Oryctolagus cuniculus: one gene and its partners. The protein of the gene in region 2 interacts with the protein of the main gene of each other region in a biochemical or structural test. Links are inferred from orthologs where the notes say so. Each region holds a gene or a part of one and is shown on either strand. Other genes may lie near its edges.

The links.
Region 1: the proteins of CREBBP (region 2) and FOXO1 form a complex in vitro, tested with the Homo sapiens proteins (3 studies listed by BioGRID, with this or other methods). The link is inferred for Oryctolagus cuniculus from reciprocal best matches to the Homo sapiens genes CREBBP and FOXO1.
Region 3: of the proteins of CREBBP (region 2) and histone H2B type 1-B, one has a biochemical effect on the other in vitro, tested with the Homo sapiens proteins (2 studies listed by BioGRID). The link is inferred for Oryctolagus cuniculus from reciprocal best matches to the Homo sapiens genes CREBBP and H2BC3.

Annotation. Positions count from the first base shown.
Region 1 is NC_091440.1:72,838,235-72,841,927, forward strand, and holds the start of FOXO1 (forkhead box protein O1), read left to right. Parts: upstream 1-852; 5' UTR 853-988; coding exon 989-1,636; intron 1,637-3,693. UniProt on the Homo sapiens protein: Transcription factor that is the main target of insulin signaling and regulates metabolic homeostasis in response to oxidative stress.
Region 2 is NC_091450.1:31,772,276-31,775,923, reverse strand, and holds part of CREBBP (CREB-binding protein), read right to left. Parts: intron 3,180-3,648; coding exon 2,990-3,179; intron 1-2,989. UniProt on the Homo sapiens protein: Acetylates histones, giving a specific tag for transcriptional activation. Mediates acetylation of histone H3 at 'Lys-18' and 'Lys-27' (H3K18ac and H3K27ac, respectively).
Region 3 is NC_091436.1:153,352,366-153,355,147, forward strand, and holds histone H2B type 1-B, read right to left. Parts: upstream 1,344-2,782; 5' UTR 1,016-1,343; coding exon 635-1,015; 3' UTR 579-634; downstream 1-578. Other genes in the region: histone H2A type 1-B, read left to right, coding at 1,344-1,736; histone H3.1, read left to right, coding at 2,366-2,776. UniProt on the Homo sapiens protein: Core component of nucleosome. Nucleosomes wrap and compact DNA into chromatin, limiting DNA accessibility to the cellular machineries which require DNA as a template.

The DNA of each region.
Region 1 (3,693 bases), on a different chromosome or scaffold from region 2:
TGCACGAAAACAAACCCTGCCGACTTCCCCGCACCGCGCCGCGCGGACCGCGTGGGTGGAGCGGAGAGGGGGCGACCGAGTGGAATTCCGCGCGGCCGCCTCCACCCCGCCCCGCCCCGCGCCCTGCCCTGCCCTGCCCTGGTCTGGGCGCCGAGCGGAGGTCGGGGCCACGGCAGCCGCTCGTTCCGCTCGGGCTTCGCCAGTCCACGGCTCGGCTCCCCCGTAGTAAACAAAGTGTCGCCGCCGCCTCCACGTTGGTTTGCCTCTCAGCAGTCAAAACAGTAAGAGGGCGAGAGACTCGCAGAAATACTCGAGAATTACCAGAAAATAATCACAAAAAGAGAGAGAACGTGCGTGTGCGCCAACGAGAAAAACACCCCACTACCCCCCTACCAACCCACAGCCGCCTCCTCGTGGAAAACCGGGCCCCTCCCCAGCCCTCTCCCACTGGCTGCTTGGGCGGCGGTGCCGCGCGCCCATTGGCTGCGCGGGCTGTCAATCGGGGGCGGGCCGGCGCGCGCGCCGCCGCGGGCGGGGGGCGGTGGCAGATCCCGTAAGTCGGGCAGCCGCGTAGTTGCTGCTGCCGCCGCCGCCGCCGCCGCCGCCTCCAGCGCATTCAACAGGCAGCTGCGCCGCGCTCGCGCCGCCGGCGAGAGCGAGCGGCCCGCGGTGTCCGTCCGTCCGTCCGTCCGTCCGTGGCCCTGTCAGCAGGAGCGCGGCCCTGGAGCTGCCCGGCTCTGGCCAGCCGTCCTGGTGGTGCAGCGAACCCGGAGCAGCCTTGGATGTTGATGGACCCACGAAGTTAAGTTCTGGGCTCGCGCGGCTACTCCGCTGCTCCTTCCTCCCGGTTTCCGTCAGCTCGCGGCACTGACTTCGTCCTCCCCCCATCCCCCCAGGATCTCGGGCCAGCCTTTGCGCCCCCTCCGCTCCGCGCTGCGCTCCCCCCCTTCTCGGCTCTCCGGCGGCTGGGGGAGGGGCGGGGGTCACCATGGCCGAAGCGCCTCAGGTGGTGGAGATCGACCCGGACTTCGAGCCGCTGCCCCGGCCGCGCTCGTGCACCTGGCCGCTGCCCAGGCCGGAGTTTAGCCAGTCCAACTCGGCCACCTCCAGCCCGGCGCCGTCGGGCGGCGCGGCCGCCAACCCCGACGCCGCGGCGGGCCTGCCCCCAGCCTCGGCGGCCGCTGTCAACGCCGACTTCATGAGCAACCTGAGCCTGCTGGAGGAGAGCGAGGACTTCCCGCAGGCGCCCGGCTCCGTGGCGGCGGCCGCAGCGGCGGCGGCGGCGGTGGCGGCGGCCGCGGCGGCTGCCACCGGGGGACTGTGCGGGGACTTCCAGGGCGCAGAGGCGGCGGGCTGCCTGCACCCGGCGCCGCCGCAGCCCCCGGCGCCCGGGCCACTGTCACAGCACCCGCCTGTACCCCCCGCGGCTGCTGGGCCGCTCGCTGGGCAGCCGCGCAAGAGCAGCTCGTCCCGCCGCAACGCGTGGGGCAACCTGTCCTACGCCGACCTCATCACCAAGGCCATCGAGAGCTCGGCCGAGAAGCGGCTCACGCTGTCTCAGATCTACGAGTGGATGGTCAAGAGCGTGCCCTACTTCAAGGATAAGGGCGATAGCAACAGCTCGGCGGGCTGGAAGGTGAGCGGCCGGACCGGGGCGCGGTGGGGCAGGTGCGGGGGTGGCTGGGCGGGTCGCGCGGGCGGCCGAGGGCGGGTGGGAAGTGGCAGGTGCGGGGGCTTGCCCGGGCGGAGGGGAGGCGCGCGCGCGCCGCAGAGTTGCGGTGGGACAGGCACAGGGGCGTGTTGGGGGGGAACTGAGGCGTGAAGAAAGTGCGTCAGGAACTGGGCGTCAGAGCGGGCAGGAAAGTTTGCCAGTCAGAGAGAGAAGGTTTCACGCGGAGCGGCTGCCCCTTTTGCCTCCCGGACCTCCGGCGGGGAGGGCGGCTCCTCTCCGCCCTCGCAGCGCGGGGCCGTTTCCGCCGCGCCGAGCGGTGGAGGGGGCGGCGAGGGGGGCACCCAAACCCGGGGGGCACGGCTGCAGGTGGAGGGGACAGCCTTGGGACGGTGCGGGGTCGGCCGCGCCACTTCTGGAGGCCGATGCGCTTTTGGCTTTGTTTTGGTTTTATCCCGGGTGGCCTCGGGTGCTGGGGTCCAGGCGCGCCGAGCCCGAGGGAGCGCCTCCGACACGTGCGAAGGGGCGGCCACCGCCTGCGGAGCGCCGGCGCCCGGCCGCGCGGGGCGAGCTAAGTTCAAGTGTGACCCTCGGCGGGGGCGGGCGCCGGCGGCGGCTGGGGAGGGGCCGCGGGCGCAGGAAGCGAGCGCCTTTAAAGGGCCAGCGCGGCGGGCCGGCCCCGGTCCACGCAGGGAAGCGCCCCAAACATGGGCTTGGCCACGGTGTGAGGCTAATAATTAGAAACACGGAGGCAGGCCAGGGTGGGTGTGTGTGTGCGCGCCCGCGCGCCTTTTCTTGGCCTCGCCACCTCAGTGTTATGAAGCGCTGGTGCGCCGGTGAGGGCCGACGCAGGGGGTTTTGTGACCCTTGCGGCCGGGGAAGTCGCAGAGGAGGTGCGCGTCCGGGCCACGGCAGGACATCCTGAGCGAGGCTGGCAAAGACTCGGGTGGGGGGTGGCTGGCGCATCCCTTCCCCGCCTTGAAGGCCGCGGGAGGACGCGCTCGGCGCGGGCCCCCGAAAGCCGACAGTTTCTCACGGTTTTGGATGTGAAAAGACTCGCTGCTTGAATCAGACCCCTTTCTCGCCTCGCCTGGCCCCTTAGCGTGACTGTACGGCGTAACACGGAGTGGTCTTCCCCGCGCGAGCGTTACAGCGACTGGCTCACATACCCTGTCGGTTCTGTGGTTAATGTGTCAGAAAGGTCAGCTTCCTCACATCTTATTGAGGTTCCTTGGAGAAGGAGTCAGGACTTTATTTTTCCTAACAGTGTTTAAGAGTAAAAGTATCACTTATAACCTCATTAGTAGGCATTACGTGCAGTTTTGCCAAGTGGTTCGTAAAAGTAAAGTGCCTTCTTGCTGTAGGCTCCTTGTATCTTGTGTTCTCAGTCACAAAATGAAGATTGTCAAATCCAATTTCACTTAGTATTGGAATTTAAGTACTTGACTGATTTGCTCATCTATCAATTCTATTTAAGCTATTAAAAAGCATTTGCAATTAAATTTTTTTTTTGACATTCAGAGTACTGTGTGTACTTAGCCATTCTTTCACGTCCTTGGAAATGGATACAACTTACTTCAACTTGCTGGAGTAGCTTTCTTTAAAGATAAGGGCAGTGTTTCAGGATATTTTTAGTTTGCCTCTCAAGGCATTGTCAAGGTATTCTGACACTAGGAATATAACTTAGAACTTTTTAAGGCTTAGACTTTATATGTATGTAAACTCTAAGGTCATATCACCCCCTTAACCATTTTCTTAAGTTCTTGTTTTAACATTTTTTTTTTAAAGATGCAGGTATAATTTTGTATTTTAAAATTGTCTTTAGGAGAGCTATTAAGTGCTGAGTAGGGACCATGTGCTGAGTGGCAGCTCCCAGAGGGAACTCCGAGCCTGGCCTTGGGAGGGAGTAGTCTGTGTTTGTCAGATGAGTAGATGTTTCAGGAGTAATGAAGAATCAGTTGGTGCAAGTCAGATTCCAGCAAGTGTATTTTCAGTTTGAGTAAAAGGGTATTTTAAGGAAAAAA
Region 2 (3,648 bases):
AAAAACCCACGCTCGGCCCCCACGCGACACACCAGCACTGGCAGACCTGGGCGCCCCCAGGTGTCCTGGCTTCCACCAATCTGCTTTACACAGAGACGAAGCGGCATTTGGTTATCTGCGTAACTTTTTTTTTTTTTTTTTTGGACAGGCAGAGTGGACAGTGAGAGAGAGAGACAGAGAGAAAGGTCTTCCTTTTCCGTTGGTTCATCCCCCAGTGGCCACTGCGGCCGGCGCACCACGCTGATCCGATGGCAGGAGCCAGTTGCTTCTCCTGGTCTCCCATGGGGTGCAGGGCCCAAGGACCTGGGCCATCCTCCACTGCACTCCCTGGCCACAGCAGAGAGTTGGCCTGGAAGAGGGGCAACCGGGACAGAATCCGGCGCCCCGACCGGGACTAGAACCCGGGGTGCCGACGCCGTAGGTGGAGGATTAGCCTAGTGAGCCGTGGCGCCGGCCTGCATAACTCTTTATAAGAAAACAATCGTTTCATCAATAGGTTTTCCATTCTTCCAGATGAAGGACTAGCAAACAATGACCAACATGCCACATTTGGCCTGCTGCTCGCTTCTGTGCAGCCCAGGAACTAAGAATGGATTTTACGTATTTTTAACAACTATTCAGAAAAAAAATAGTCATGCCACATTTGAACAACTGACAGTGTTTGTTGCCAATGACAAAATGTGGGCTTTCATCCACAATGAAGAGTCTGGGAAGACTTCCATCTGCCACGGGGCTTGACAGCGCCTCTACGTTCCTAAGATTTGCTTGAAGACCGATGGTGATAATAATGAACAGAGTTTTTCTATACTTGATAGTGAAACACGTCAACCTTTAGAAAATCTATAGGGGGTGGGGCCGGCGCCATGGTGCAGTAGGTTAATCCTCTACCTGTGGCACTGACATCCTATATGGGCGTCAGTTCTAGTCTCAGCTGCTCCTCTTCCGATCCAGCTCTCTGCTATGGCCTGGGAAAGCAGTAGAAGACAGCCCAAGGGCTTGGTCCTTGGCACCCGCATGGGAGACCAGGAAGAAGCACCTGGCTCCTGGCTTCAGATACACACAGCTCTGGCCGTTGCGGCCATTTGGGGAGTGAACCAACAGAAGGAAGACCTTTCTCTCTGTCTCTCCCTCTCACTGTCTGTAATTCTACCTCTCAAATAAATAAATAAAATCTTTAACAAAAAAAATAAAGAAAGAAAATCTACAGGGGGCCGGCGCTGTGGCATAGCAAGTAAAGCCCCCACCTGTAGTGCCAGCATCCCATATGGGTGCTGGTTCAAGCCCCAGCTGCTCCTCTTCCAATCCAGCTCTCTACCGTGGCCTGGGAAAGCAGCAGAAGATGGCCCAAATCCTTGGGCCCCTGCATCCGCATGGGAGACCTGGAAGAAGATCCTGGCTCCTGGCTTCGGATCAGCGCAGCTCCTCCGGCCATTGAGGCCATCTGGGGAGTGAACCAGCAGATGGAAGACCCCTCTCTCTCTGTCTCAACCTCTCTGTAACCCTGCATTCCAAATAAATAAATAAATCTTAAAAAATCTACATAAATCACAAAACTAGTACTTTTCAGATGACCTAAGGATGATGTCACACCCCTCCCCTCCAAAAAAAAAATCACCCAAACACAAAAGATCCTTCAAAATGCAAGATGGGCCAGTGTGTTCCAGTCATAGAAAGCACAAAAATTCACTGCTGTGGGCTCAGACTCCACGCAGCAAGCGGCCTTCTCCAATCACCGCCCGGCTGGCGCTGTGGTGCCGCAGGTCAAGTTGCCGCCTGTGACACCAGCACCCTACATCAGAGCTCTGGTCTGAATCCTGCCTGGGCCCCCGCCACCCACACTGGAGATCCAGCCCAGCCTCGGGCAATGTAGCCGTTTGGAGAGTGAACCCTTCTGTGTCAGTCTTTAATTCCGCCTTTCAAGTGAATACATGAATTTTAACAAAAAGAGAAAAGATAAGTCCCACTTGAAGTATCAAAGCAGATATCCACAATGACCTGAAGGGCACTAAAACCCTCTTTGCTTCACAAAACAACTGAGGGCCAGGTCAGACCCAGCTGCGTCCCTAACTTCGTCAGAGAGAAACAAAATGGTAGAGCAACATCACTACTCTCATTTTAGAAGGTAGTTTTCATAAAGTGTGTTACGTATGGCAAACACACAGAAGCTGTACCCCCTCAAGTGACTTCTAGGAGAGTGAACAGGGACAGGCAATCCACACGAACAGAAGCTCTGGGGTCTCCAACTGTCAAGACCAAGAGCAGGCCTGAAGCCAGCTGTGCTCCAGCATCTCGCAGCTCCCCCTCCACATTCTCTCCGAAACCTCTCCTCGACGTGTCGCCAGCAGCCCTGAACCTTCTCCCATCCCACAGTGCTCAGGTCCAAGAGACACTCTCCTCGACGTGTCGCCAGCAGCCCTGACCCTTCTCCCATCCCACAGTGCTCAGGTTCAAGAGACACTCTGGATGCAACCCAAATGGGCTGGGTCTGTTCACCTGCCACTGCGCGGCTGGATCACTCCACACATCTAAGATCCCAAAGCTTCCCGACCCTGCCCAGCACCCACATCACCAGGCATGATCCCGCCGTGTGCTCCAGCAGCCGGGACTCCTCAAGGTACCAGCAGAAACCACCCTCACCCCTGCCCAGTCAAGTGCACACAGTGGCCACTTCCTTGAAATTGCTCTGCCCCGCGAGCCCATCACTGGTGCTCCCACAGCGCGAGTCAGCCCCAACTCCTCTGCCTGCTGGATGACCCAAGGCACGTTCCCTGTACCTCCAGGGCCAACCTGTCTAAAGCCAGCCGTGCACTGTGGGCAGCCTCTCAGGAAGGCGGCTCAGGGCTTGCGCACACAGGGCCCAGCCCACACCACTGCTAAGGAGTGCAGCGTGAGGAATGGCAGGCCAAGCAACACAGGATTATTGGTCTGCTGTAGCTGTCAATCCCCAGTGTGGAAGCACCGCGCACGGGTCACAGAGCCAAAGACCTACTTTTCTTGCGTGGCTGTGAAGGGGATGTTGACTGCGAGGCCGTCCCATTGGTGCTGCTCTCTTCTTCCTCCTTAGCTTCCACTTTTACTTCGGGTTTCTTTTCATCCACTTCCATTGGTTCTGGTTTCTGCTCTGTAGAATCTGTTTCTTCTTTAATTTGGGAGGAGCCCTGCAAATCCTCCTCCATCACCTTAAGAAAACAGAATTACAGATGACTCGTGAACAGCAAAGACCTTGATTGTCACTCAGTCTTAACGCAAGGCTCTTAAATCTAGGTGGGCGGGGCCAGCACTGCGGTACAGTGGGTTAAAGCCCTGGCCCGCAGTGTCAGCATCCCATATGGGTGCTGGTTTGAGTCCCAGCTGCTCCACTTCCGATCCAGCTCCCTGCTAATGTGCCAGGGAAAGCAGCACAGAATGGCCCAAGCCCTTGGGCCCCTGCACCCACGTGGGAGACCTGGAAGAGGCTCCTGGCTTCATATCAGTGTGGCTCCGGCTGTTGCGGCCATCTAGGGAGTGAACCAACGGATGGAAGACCTGTCTCTGTCTCTACCTCTTTCTGTAACTCTTTCCTTTCAAATAAATAAAATAAATCTTTAAAAAAAAAAAAAAAAAAAAAAAAAGAAGCAGAGCTGTGTGTTTTGAATCAGCACTCAGCTC
Region 3 (2,782 bases), on a different chromosome or scaffold from region 2:
GGCGGTGTCGGTCACAGTGGCGCGCGAACCTCTGGGAACCACTCCAGAGTCGCTCTAAAGCCACGGCACTGGCCAACCTCCGCCCCGACGCGCCCTGGCCCCTCCCCTCAGCCAGTGGCTGGCCGCGAACCAGGAAAGGCGCGGGATTCAGATCGCATCCTGACTCCAGCCAGTATCAAGGCTCCATTCTTGAGAAAAATCCGCCCCATCCAATAGGTGATCCATGGATTTCTGAAGACTCAAGGACTGCTTAGCCGACGTGATTAGTGGCTACAGGTAGGTAACAGGGAGAACTGCAGGAATTTCACTCCATTTCACTGTCGAGGAGCTGGAGATGTTAGAGGGGGCTCTTCAAAGCTCATGCGAACCCGAGTTCACGAAATGCGCATCTCCCATCACATCGCGAACCCCAGTCCCCGACCCCGACCAAAGTGCCCTAAGGTTACTCAGCGCCGACCTGCACGGGATAAACACGCGTTCTGGGGTCGTCACTAACGCCAGCCCTAACACCCGACCTAAACCCACCTCAACAGGAGCAAAATACAAGGACGTCGGCCACAGCTCTATTTGTGAAAGAGTTGGTGGCTCTGAAAAGAGCCTTTGGGGTGAGGGGCGGCGGCGCCAATTCGGGAGCTCACTTGGAGCTGGTGTACTTGGTGACAGCCTTGGTGCCCTCGGACACGGCGTGCTTGGCCAGCTCACCAGGCAGCAGCAGGCGCACGGCCGTCTGGATCTCGCGCGACGTGATGGTCGAGCGCTTGTTGTAGTGCGCCAGGCGCGAGGCCTCGCCGGCGATGCGCTCGAAGATGTCGTTGACGAACGAGTTCATGATGCCCATGGCCTTGGACGAGATGCCGGTGTCGGGGTGCACCTGCTTGAGCACCTTGTACACGTAGATGGAGTAACTCTCCTTGCGACTGCGCTTGCGCTTCTTGCCATCCTTCTTCTGCGCCTTTGTTATCGCCTTCTTGGAGCCCTTTTTGGGGGCGGGAGCGGATTTGGAGGGTTCAGGCATTGCTTTTAATATTGGCTGAGAGACTAAAACAGACTCAGTCTACAGCTGATTAGTGATGACAGGCCGGAGTGCATATATTTATAGTCCCGTAATTCAAATGAGGGTTTGAGACTTCTCACTTCTGATTGGACAACAAAGAAATTTTCTCTAGGGGGGTTGTTTATGCAAATAAGGTATCCGGGTTGTCTTTTCCTATTGGGCAGAAAAGGCGAACCTATTTCGACCAATAGGATGACGTACTGTAGTAGCCCTGCGCTGCTTATAAAAGCACAGTCTTGGCGGGTATGGTTTTCTTTACTTCAGATTGCGAAGCGTGTTTGGCTGTACCATGTCTGGGCGTGGCAAGCAAGGCGGCAAGGCGCGCGCCAAGGCCAAGACCCGCTCCTCCCGGGCCGGGCTCCAGTTCCCCGTGGGTCGCGTGCACCGCCTGCTGCGCAAGGGCAACTACTCGGAACGCGTGGGCGCCGGCGCCCCAGTGTACCTGGCGGCCGTGCTCGAGTACCTGACGGCCGAGATCCTGGAGCTGGCGGGCAACGCGGCGCGCGACAACAAGAAGACGCGCATCATCCCGCGCCACCTGCAGCTGGCCATCCGCAACGACGAGGAGCTCAACAAGCTGCTGGGCCGCGTCACCATCGCGCAGGGCGGCGTGCTGCCCAACATCCAGGCCGTGCTGCTGCCCAAGAAGACCGAGAGCCACCACAAGGCCAAGGGCAAGTGAAACCACAGTAAAGACGACGCAACTCTCGCTTTGAAATACCCAAAGGCTCTTTTCAGGGCCATCCACTGTTTCACAAAAAAGCTGCTAACCCTGACTGGAATTAGTCCTTCCCATGGTGATAGCGTTAGCGCTTAAGAAAACTGTGGAAACAAGTGAAACGTGTATTTATTGTGACGGATGAAAGGCCACACAGTGACGGGGGGTGTGTCAGTCGGGAAATAGCCCCCGAGGTGCAGCTGTTTCAAACGTAAAACGCGTTTTGCCTTAAGTCAGGGCACCTTTCCGTGGCTCAGTGTTTATCGGGCGCTATTAGACGGCAGGCCCAGGTAATTAGGGATTTCGGGGTCCACGCTAGGGCCTGTTACTGAGGTAATCTCCCTCCACGGTTAGGTACGCTTCTGAGATGGAATGATCCAGATGTTAGAAAACGTCTACCATCCCAAACGGACAGTGGATGAATCCGGCCAATCAGGTTGTCTGAGTGGACCAATCATCGAAGTTCCTCCTTTAGCCAATGAGTTTGTCGCGCGGATTTTTTGAAAATCCGGAAGCCAATCACAGTAGTCCTAACGATATTTAAAGGCAGCTCTGTCGCCGCAGACAAGAAGTTTGAGTCCCACCGGCGCGAGATGGCTCGTACTAAGCAGACAGCGCGCAAGTCAACAGGCGGCAAGGCGCCGCGCAAGCAGCTGGCCACCAAGGCGGCCCGCAAGAGCGCGCCGGCCACGGGCGGCGTCAAGAAGCCGCACCGCTACCGGCCCGGCACGGTGGCGCTGCGCGAGATCCGGCGCTACCAGAAGTCCACCGAGCTGCTCATCCGCAAGCTGCCCTTCCAGCGCCTGGTGCGCGAGATCGCGCAGGACTTCAAGACGGACCTGCGCTTCCAGAGCTCGGCCGTCATGGCGCTGCAGGAGGCCTGCGAGGCCTACCTCGTCGGCCTCTTCGAGGACACCAACCTCTGCGCCATCCACGCCAAGCGCGTCACCATCATGCCCAAAGACATCCAGCTGGCGCGCCGCATCCGCGGGGAGCGGGCGTGAATCCTG